2 linked regions of the Danio rerio genome follow. The protein of the gene in region 2 binds, or shares a complex with, the protein of the main gene of each other region. Links are inferred from orthologs where the notes say so. Each region holds a gene or a part of one and is shown on either strand. Other genes may lie near its edges.

Region 1 (4,503 bases), on a different chromosome or scaffold from region 2:
CACTCTGAAACAAGAAATATATGGATGAAACAAATTACAAAAACAAATTCTAAAAAGTCTAAAAGTACTTAAAGGGATAGTTCAACCAAAAAGAACATTTACTCTGTATTTACTCCCCCTCAAGTGGTTATCAACCTTTATGAATTTCTTTCCTCTGTTGAGAGGCATTTTGAAGAGTGTTGAAAACCTGTAACCACTGACTTCCATATTAGGAAAAAGAAATACTGTAGTAACAACAAATTCTAAATACTACTACTAAGTCAATAGTTACAGGTTTTCAGCTTTCTTCAAAATAAAGGGTGAGTAAATGATGACAGAATGAAATATTAAATGAAAGTTGTCATCATTTACTCATCCTTTATTTTGAACAAAGCTGAAAACCTGTAAAACCTGTTTTTTTTTTCATCTGCTAAACACAAAAGAATCTATTCTGAAAAATGTTGGAAAGCAGTAACCATTGACTTCCATAATATTTGTTTTTTTTTACTATGGAAGTCAGGTTTCTAACATTCTTTATAATATCTTCTTTTGTGCTCAACAGGAGCTGAGCCGAAAGGCAAAGCTTTCGATTTACCGGTCAATCTACGTTCCTACTCTCACCTATGGTCATGAGCTTTGGGTCATGACAGAAAGGACAAGATCACGGTTACAAGTGGCCGAAATGAGTTTCCTTCGAAGGGTGGCAGGGCGCACTCTTATGGATAGGGTTAGGAGCTCTGTCACCCGGGAGGAGCTCTGAGTAGAGCCGCTGCTCCTCCACATCGAGAGAACTCAGCTGAGGTGGTTCAGGCATCTGTTTGGGATGACTCCTGGACGCCTACCTAGGGAGGTGTTCCAGGCATGTCCCACCAGGAGGATGCCTCATGGAAGACCCATGACACGCTAGAGGGACTATGTCTCTTGGCTGGCCTTGGAACGCCTCGGGATCCCCCCCGGAGGAGCTGGAGGAACTGTCTCGGGAGAGGGAAATCTGGGGTTGTCTCCTAAGACTGCTGCTCCAGCGACCCGGCCCGGAAAAGCGGCAGAAAATGAATGAATGGATTTGCTCAACAGAAAAAATAAACTTGAAAAAATTTGGAACCACTTGAATAATAGTAACATTCATAAATAATGAGTAAATATTCATTTTTTGTGTGTGAACTATCCCTTTAAAGAAACTAATGTGGTTAATATTGAACACCTGTCTGACTTCTGAAAATCTGCTGACTTGTTGCTGCTGCCATTTAAAGCTGGGTGAAAAACCCTCAGGTGCAGCAAGACAACCTGTGATCTGAGGCAAAAATAATGGCACAGTTATTTTACACATTACAGAATTTATAACAGATTATTCAGTTCACTTTTCCCACTTACAGACACATTCACTGACTGTTTCTTCAGCTTCTTTGGATCAATTTGTGCCACAACAACATCTGGACACAGAGATGCTTCCCTCCTGTAAAATATACAGTAGTCGATATTTAAACAGGGTCTTTTTATTAAAGTTGCCCGAAAACCATTGAACAACACCCACTCTTGTCTTAGAACAATTTCGAAAAGCGTTTTCAATCCACTTGTAAAATGCTGACTACTATAATGTTCATCGAACAAGAGTCAAAGTCAAGCATAGTTTCATCAACAAGAAAAAGCTAATACAGCTTTAAAGTAGTTTTGTTTTTCCTGTTGCATTAGAATGTGTAAAATAACATTTTTTACAAACAATATTTACAATAGTTATTCTGTGTAATAGTAATTTATTAGCCAAAAGCATTAAAGTGTAGCCCCAAATCATATTTTGTTAGTGCCACTGTCCTTCGGATCACTAGTTTTACCAATTTGATCAATTAGTTCAACGTGCTAAGCATTGGGTAACAAACTATGAGGTTCTAGGTATGAAACCAGCATAGAGCCACAATCTTGACGGGCGGCACGGTGGCTTAGTGGTAACCACTGTCACCTTACAGCAAGAAGGTCACTGGTTCGAGTCCTGGCTGGGCCATAAGGCATTTCTGCGTGGAGCTTTAATGTTCTCCCCGTGTTGGTGTGGGTTTCCTCTAGGTGCTCTGATTTCCCCCACAGCGCTCTCTCTGTGAGTGTGTGTGTGTGTGTGTGTGTGTGTGTGTGTGTGTGTGTGTGTGTGTGTGTGTGTGTGTGTGTTTTTAGCTGGTCATCTCCCAGCCTGCCCAGCTAAGACCAGGCTGGAAATGACTGGAAACCAGCCTGCAAATGGCCATAACCCCTCTCAAACAAGCCTGGTCAACCAGCTAAAACCAGCCAACCAGCCTAGGCTGGTTTAAGCTGTTTTTTTTTTCCAGTAGGGTTTAACAACATAAGTACTGTTTAATTGACTGAATAATGTTGTACTTTAGTAGTCATTGGCAGCTAATATGATCTCCTTCTTTACAATTTGCAAATAATACTTTTCTAAAACTGTATTATTGATGAGAATGTCTGAATGTGCGAATATTAAACCAACTTTACCTCAATAGCCGAAAGACTTACTGGACAAATCTGAGATATTCCTGAGGGTTTCTAGGCGGCTCGGTAAGAGTATATTCCTCTGTGTCGCAGGAATCCACTGGCAGGAGTCTGGGCATCAACTCCTCGGCGTCTGACTTCATCTCTTTGCCTTATTTTTTATGCACGACCATCAAAATAAATCAACATGCTCACTATTACGTGCATGTCAACCTCTCCATTTTGAAAACATTGGACACGAGGATGACGATCAATAGACGCGACGGTTCTTTTATTCACTCGCTTACAGATGGAAAGATGTGTAGCGACATCTGTTGTTTAGGAGAAATGTGAAGGGTAACAACATAAAATGGTGGAGAAATATTGTACAAGTAGAATATTTTTTATTTACTCCCCAATAAGGTTAAATAAAAAGGAAAAATTATCAAATAAGAGCTGTGTTTTTTGAAAACTCTACCCCTTCTGCTATCTCACATTGAAACGGTCTTTTTGATTATTTAAACTGGGGAAATATATGGTCCATACATCAAGTTTTTCCTTACTAAAAAGGTAAAGGAAATATCTTTTAAATTATTACATAACATTTATCCTATCAAAAATGTCTTAAAGAAAAGATTTGGATCATACTTTGATACAAATATCTCCTTTTGTCAGATTAACGCTGAAACTCCTCGCTTATTTTGGTCATGCAATTGTCCAAATATTACTTTACAGCATTTTTCTGTGACTACAAAAGTCATTTTTGGTGTTTTTTATAACAAAGTTTAATGTCTACTTTAAAATAAACCTTTTTCTTTATGCAGATTTTATGTTCATAAATGTATATTGTCAATGTCAAGTTGCAAGCTAACATTTCTAGCATTTACAAGAGATTAAAAATTACTTACAGTTCCAGATTCACTTAACAAGAAAGTACTCAAAGCATACCATTTGCACGACCTTTATAATCAATTAAATCTCTAAATTGCTGCTTCTTATTTTGCCCTCTTCACTTTCAATTTTTTTTAAATCTATATATCTACCCTCAGATCAGATGGCCTATTGATATTTCTTTGTTTTTTGTTTGATTTCTGTTGGTTGTTCCTCTTTCTTTTTTCTTCTTTTTCATTCTTTATTGGCACCATTGTAAATAATCTAATGATTATTATTGTAAATGATGTGCACCAAATGTATCTTTCTGTAATACAGTAAATGTATTTAAAAAAGATAAAGAAAATATTACACAGGTATCCCTGCCATCTGTTCATTAATACATTTTAAAAAGACATTTCATCAGAATGTTTTAAACCTGAAAGTCTCCTACATCTATTTTGTGCTTGTACATTTATTGACGACTTTTGGAAACTGGTTTCAGGGTTAATTTTTTACTCAGTTTATAATAAAATTATATATAATTAACTTGGATGAATGCATGATTCTTTTTTAAACTGAAAACTGGCCATGATACACTCGGTAATGCTTTGAAGTTGATTATTTTTCTTGGGACGTTTCACATACACAAGGCAAAATTAAAGTCTATAACCCTCTCCTTCAATTAATTTATTTTTCTTATAAGTTTGAAACAGGCAACGCAGTGGAGCAGTAGGTAGTGCTGTCGCCTCACAGCAAGAAGGTCGCTGGTTCGAGCCTCAGCTGGATCAGTTGCCGTTTCTGTGTGGAGTTTGCATGTTCTCCCTGCGTTCGCGTGGGTTTCCTCCAGGTGCTTCAGTTTCCCTCACAGTCCAAAGACATGTAGTACAGGTGAATTGCCTAAATTGTCCATAGTGTGTGTGGATGTTTCCCAGAGATGGGTTGTGGCTGGAAGGGCATCCACTGCATAAAACTGTGTGCTGGATAAGGTGGCGGTTCATTCCACTGTGGCGACTCCGGATTAATAAAGGGACTAAGCCGAAAATAAAATAAATGAATAAATAAAGATTTAAACATTTTACAATTTTACTGAGTAAAATATTATGAAATATTTCATAATTTTTTGACTGTTACATATGTCATCTTGAATGCAATTCTAATTCTGTCTTTAAACACCCATAATGTAATCAGAATTTAGTG
Region 2 (4,503 bases):
CGGTTCATAATAGTGAATCATATGAACGAACCGATTCGCTAGAATGATCGGGACCTCTCACACCCCCGTGTGCTAGGAAACAGTCGCGGTGCATGCTGGTACAACATGACTCACACGCTGATTTGCATCTGAAGCTTTCAGCGTTACTGTGTTACTAAGATAATGCTCAAATGAGAGAGGCGTCCTGTGTTTGCATTTCTGTTTTCCCCTCATGAAAATGTGTGCTTACAGTAGATCTTCATCTCTAATGGCCTTTAGCAAGATTTTCAGAGATGCAATTATGTAAGATTTGCAAAAAGCTGTGATTAATGAGTCATAAGCACTGCCTTTAATTTGGATGACGTTTAAATAGACATTGCAATGAGAACATAAAACATCTATCTATCTGTCTGTCTATCTATCTATCTATCTATCTGTCTGTCTGTCTGTCCGTCCGTCCGTCCGTCCATCCATCCATCCATCTATCATCTATCTGTCTGTCTATCTATCTATCTATCTATCTATCTATCTATCTATCTATCTATCTATCTATCTATCTGTCTGTCTGTCTGTCTGTCTGTCTGTCTCTCTGTCTATCTATCTATCTATCTATCTATCTATCTATCTATCTATCTATCTATATCTGTCTGTCTGTCTGTCTATCTATCTATCTATCTATCTATCTATCTATCTATCTATCTATCTATCTATCTATCTATCTATCTATCTATCTATCTATATCTGTCTGTCTGTCTGTCTGTCTGTCTGTCTGTCTGTCTGTCTGTCTGTCTATCTATCTATCTATCTATCTATCTATCTATCTATCTATCTATCTATCTACGTGCCTGCCTGCCTGCACATCCCTTCAGAATATTCAAAGAACTCCGTGAGTTTTTCCAGAAATTGCTCTAAGTCATTTAAAACAGGTGTGTCCCATGACAGTGAGGTTATCATGACATCAGAGCACACGTAGACATACCAGTGAGGCTTGCACGCAAAATTATCATTGAGATGTCTGAATGTAAAGCATTTTTACCGCAACCAGCCCATGTGTAATATTTATCCTGACCGCTCTATTCAAATAGTAATTATATCCTGTGCAGATGTTACTTACCTACAGGGGGCGCTTCGTGGCTCAGAAAGTTTACCTTATATATATTTTAAATAGCGTAAAGCTTATTGATTTATGGCACTGATTATTATTATTATTGTTATTATTATTAGTATTATTATTATTATTAACATGTTATTTCCTCACATTTGCCATAACGTTAGTTATATAACCATCCGTTAACAACACTGATAAACGAAGTGTGTCAAAGTAGTAACTTTCCTCGTTTGTAGTTCGTACTGAGAAAGCGTCTTCATATTAACGCTAGAATCTTTCCTATCCCAGATATTACATATTAGATAATGGAATTTAAACATAATACAGCACATGTTAGCACTTTATTTGTACATACACGTCCATTGGTAGAAAAACGGGATGTACGCTTTCTCAACCGACGCTACGACAGGTCACGTGATCCAGTTCTGTCCAATCCCCGTGGCGTCGCGGGCCGGAAATGATGGCCGGGCTTTCACACTAGTGCTTCCATTATGTTCCTGTAGCGTTAGCGAGGGCTCGAGTTTAGCTTACACACACACACACTCACACACACACACCTCGTGTAGCTGGTGGCACAGCACTGTAGCTGGGAGTGCAGCTCCGCAATCATCCCCGATACGCAATCTGGCCGCAAAGTACTAGTGTGTGACGTTGATTTGCTAGCTTTGCAAGGTAATGATTGTTTTTCTTTGACTAGCCAAGCTTGTGTTAGCCAGCACACCTGTTCTGATTTTTCATATGTACATCTCTTATTTGATACTTGAATTTTAAGAAATACGTAGCTATGTTTCAGTACAATTGCTTATGTGTCCTGTCATCTTTTTAGGTCCTCAGTAAGTATGGCCATGAGACAGACCCCTCTCACCTGCTCTGGTCACACCAGACCTGTTGTGGATCTGGCGTTCAGTGGAATAACTCCTTATGGATATTTCCTCATTAGTGCTTGTAAAGGTTTGTATGTACTTGGACTTAAAACCAACTCTTCACAGTAAACACAACCTCATTGCAGGGCATTGTTGGTTTTATAGTTGCACATTCATGCAGTGACCACTTGTGACATGCTCCCTATATTGTTCACCATGGTACTTTGAATATTCGGCTTGAAATCACATTTAATTATGACTTCAAAACAACATTATCACGTTACTTGATTGTGAACAATGTTGTGCTTTGATAGTCATTGGCTGACAATATGATTTTGCTATTTATAACTTGCTAATAATGTTTTTCTGAAATAAAATTAAGGAGAAAGTTTAAATATAAAACCATTTTTACCTACATTTGCAGGGCAGTGTGCTTAAAAAGTAAGCATTTCTTAAAATAAGTGTGTGCATATGTCATGTATCTGTCAAATAAGTTTGTTTTTGTGTTCAAATTTTGCAGATGGCAAACCTATGTTGCGCCAGGGTGACACAGGGGACTGGATTGGGACGTTCTTGGGTCACAAGGGTGCTGTCTGGGGTGCCACCTTGAATACAGAAGCTACAAAAGCAGCAACGGCCGCAGCAGATTTTACAGCGTAAGTGTTAAAGGAATAAAAGATGAACTGTTATTGTTGAAACATGAGTTTACTTTCTATATTTCTTATGAATCTGACAGGAAGGTATGGGATGCTGTCACTGGAGACGAGGTCCTCACCCTGGCGCACAAGCACATTGTGAAGTCTGTAAACTTTACACAGGTATTCCATGCTGATGTATAGAACGAGTTCTGCAAAATTGTGTAAGCCAAGAGTTATGGCAGATGAAATCTTGACTTTGTAATCTTGGAATATGATATACATTTCAAATTATATTTATGCACAACGTGGGTTTTTTAAATTATTATAATTTTATATTAGTTTTACTGTATTTTTGAATAAGTAAATGCAACTTTGGCATAACAGGCTAAATGTATTTATTTTAAACTACTTGTATGAACAAATGAATAAGTCATTAATTTATTCTAGTATCTAATTAAAACATTTTGCAACAATTTTAGTAAGATATAATACTGATCTATATTGAGATATTCAGACTATTTATGCAACACTTGGTTTATGAAATGATCTTACTTAAAATAGTTAACCTGTGGTCATTCAAAACCACGGGTTAACAGAATGCTGGCTCAATTTGCTTCATGATTCTCATAATTTACTTCGGCAATCAGTAAAGTTTCATAACTAAATGTTTCAGTTAGCTTCATTTTCAAATGTGAACCCTGACAGGAGAAACAGCATGTCACTGGGACTTTCCTTATTAAATTTAAACCACAATAGATAAAGTAATAAATAAAATGAAATAAAGTTTGGAACAATAGTAACCCATGTGTTCAATCACTCAGTACATTTACAAGGATACCAATGCAATTTTAATACGATTAAGACAATACTCTGATTAAGACTCTACCATATAAACAGAAATTTTTCATTAATTTAATCAGATTAAGGTCATAATCAAACTCTACAGAAATGTAATTAAGACGTGGCATATGCCGGTTTTAGTCACATCATTGACACTGTAAAGACATGTAAACGCAATCAAACTATTACCGTTGTGTAGGGTTTTTGCCACATTTTGCAATGGGACAGTCTATATACACACGGCTGTTTGACACTATTCTCTGCACTATCAAGTCAGTAGGACCACAGACATCTACAGTGTACATTGCGAAATGCTGAGTTTTTTTTTTAAAAAACCAATATCCAAAATCCAAAATCTCGTTTGTCATGGGGGCATGCATGAATTATTCCTGAATGAAAGTGCCAAACTGCAGTTAAAGTCAACAAAATAAAAATAAAACTCCCGAAATTACATGAAACTCCAGAGCAAATGTGGATAGCACGATGACGCAACAACGTTAATCAAACTATGTGCTATAGCATGTAAAAAGGGATCATGAAAGCAATATTCAAAAAGTAACTCATGTAAACACCTTAAACATTTTATTGTCTTATTCAGATCAAGGCAAATCATTTGATCACCGATTACTACATGTAAATGAAGTCACTTTCTGTAAACTTGCCAGAGTAATTTCATTTAGGAGTTTTTACCAGCATGTGTTGAACCAACAGGACAGTAACTATCTCCTGACTGGAGGAAATGATAAAGTACTGCGCATCTATGACCTCAGCAAACCTGAAGCAGGTATTGAAAGTTAAATAATAGTTTATTTGCTTTGATGATAGCCGCTTCCTTTCATAAATGCAAACCTGGTTTTAAAAAGTAACTTTTGTAATGCAGAACCCCAGGAGATTGCAGGCCACACTTCTGCCATAAAGAAAGCACTGTGGTGTAACAATGACCAGCAGATTCTTTCAGCTGCCGACGACAAAACCATCAGGTGAGTATCCCGAATGGTAACATCTTTTGACTTTACATATGCAGATAGATTGATTTAGTGTCATCTTCTATGTATAGACTTTGGGACAAGAACAC

What was found. Proteins that work in one complex are often made in the same cells at the same time.
Region 1: strap (region 2) and gemin2 share a complex: the UniProt entries of both Homo sapiens proteins name them as parts of the SMN-Sm complex. The link is inferred for Danio rerio from reciprocal best matches to the Homo sapiens genes STRAP and GEMIN2.

What each region holds. Positions count from the first base shown.
Region 1 is NC_133192.1:14,292,050-14,296,552, reverse strand, and holds the start of gemin2 (gem-associated protein 2), read right to left. Parts: upstream 2,708-4,503; 5' UTR 2,598-2,707; coding exon 2,479-2,597; exon of another isoform or gene 2,458-2,478; intron 1,433-2,457; coding exon 1,351-1,432; intron 1,271-1,350; coding exon 1,181-1,270; intron 5-1,180; coding exon 1-4. UniProt on the Homo sapiens protein: The SMN complex catalyzes the assembly of small nuclear ribonucleoproteins (snRNPs), the building blocks of the spliceosome, and thereby plays an important role in the splicing of cellular pre-mRNAs.
Region 2 is NC_133179.1:17,468,450-17,472,952, reverse strand, and holds the start of strap (serine-threonine kinase receptor-associated protein), read left to right. Parts: upstream 1-1,569; 5' UTR 1,570-1,759; intron 1,760-1,913; 5' UTR 1,914-1,926; coding exon 1,927-2,038; intron 2,039-2,470; coding exon 2,471-2,606; intron 2,607-2,686; coding exon 2,687-2,768; intron 2,769-4,139; coding exon 4,140-4,212; intron 4,213-4,308; coding exon 4,309-4,408; intron 4,409-4,485; coding exon 4,486-4,503. UniProt on the Homo sapiens protein: The SMN complex catalyzes the assembly of small nuclear ribonucleoproteins (snRNPs), the building blocks of the spliceosome, and thereby plays an important role in the splicing of cellular pre-mRNAs.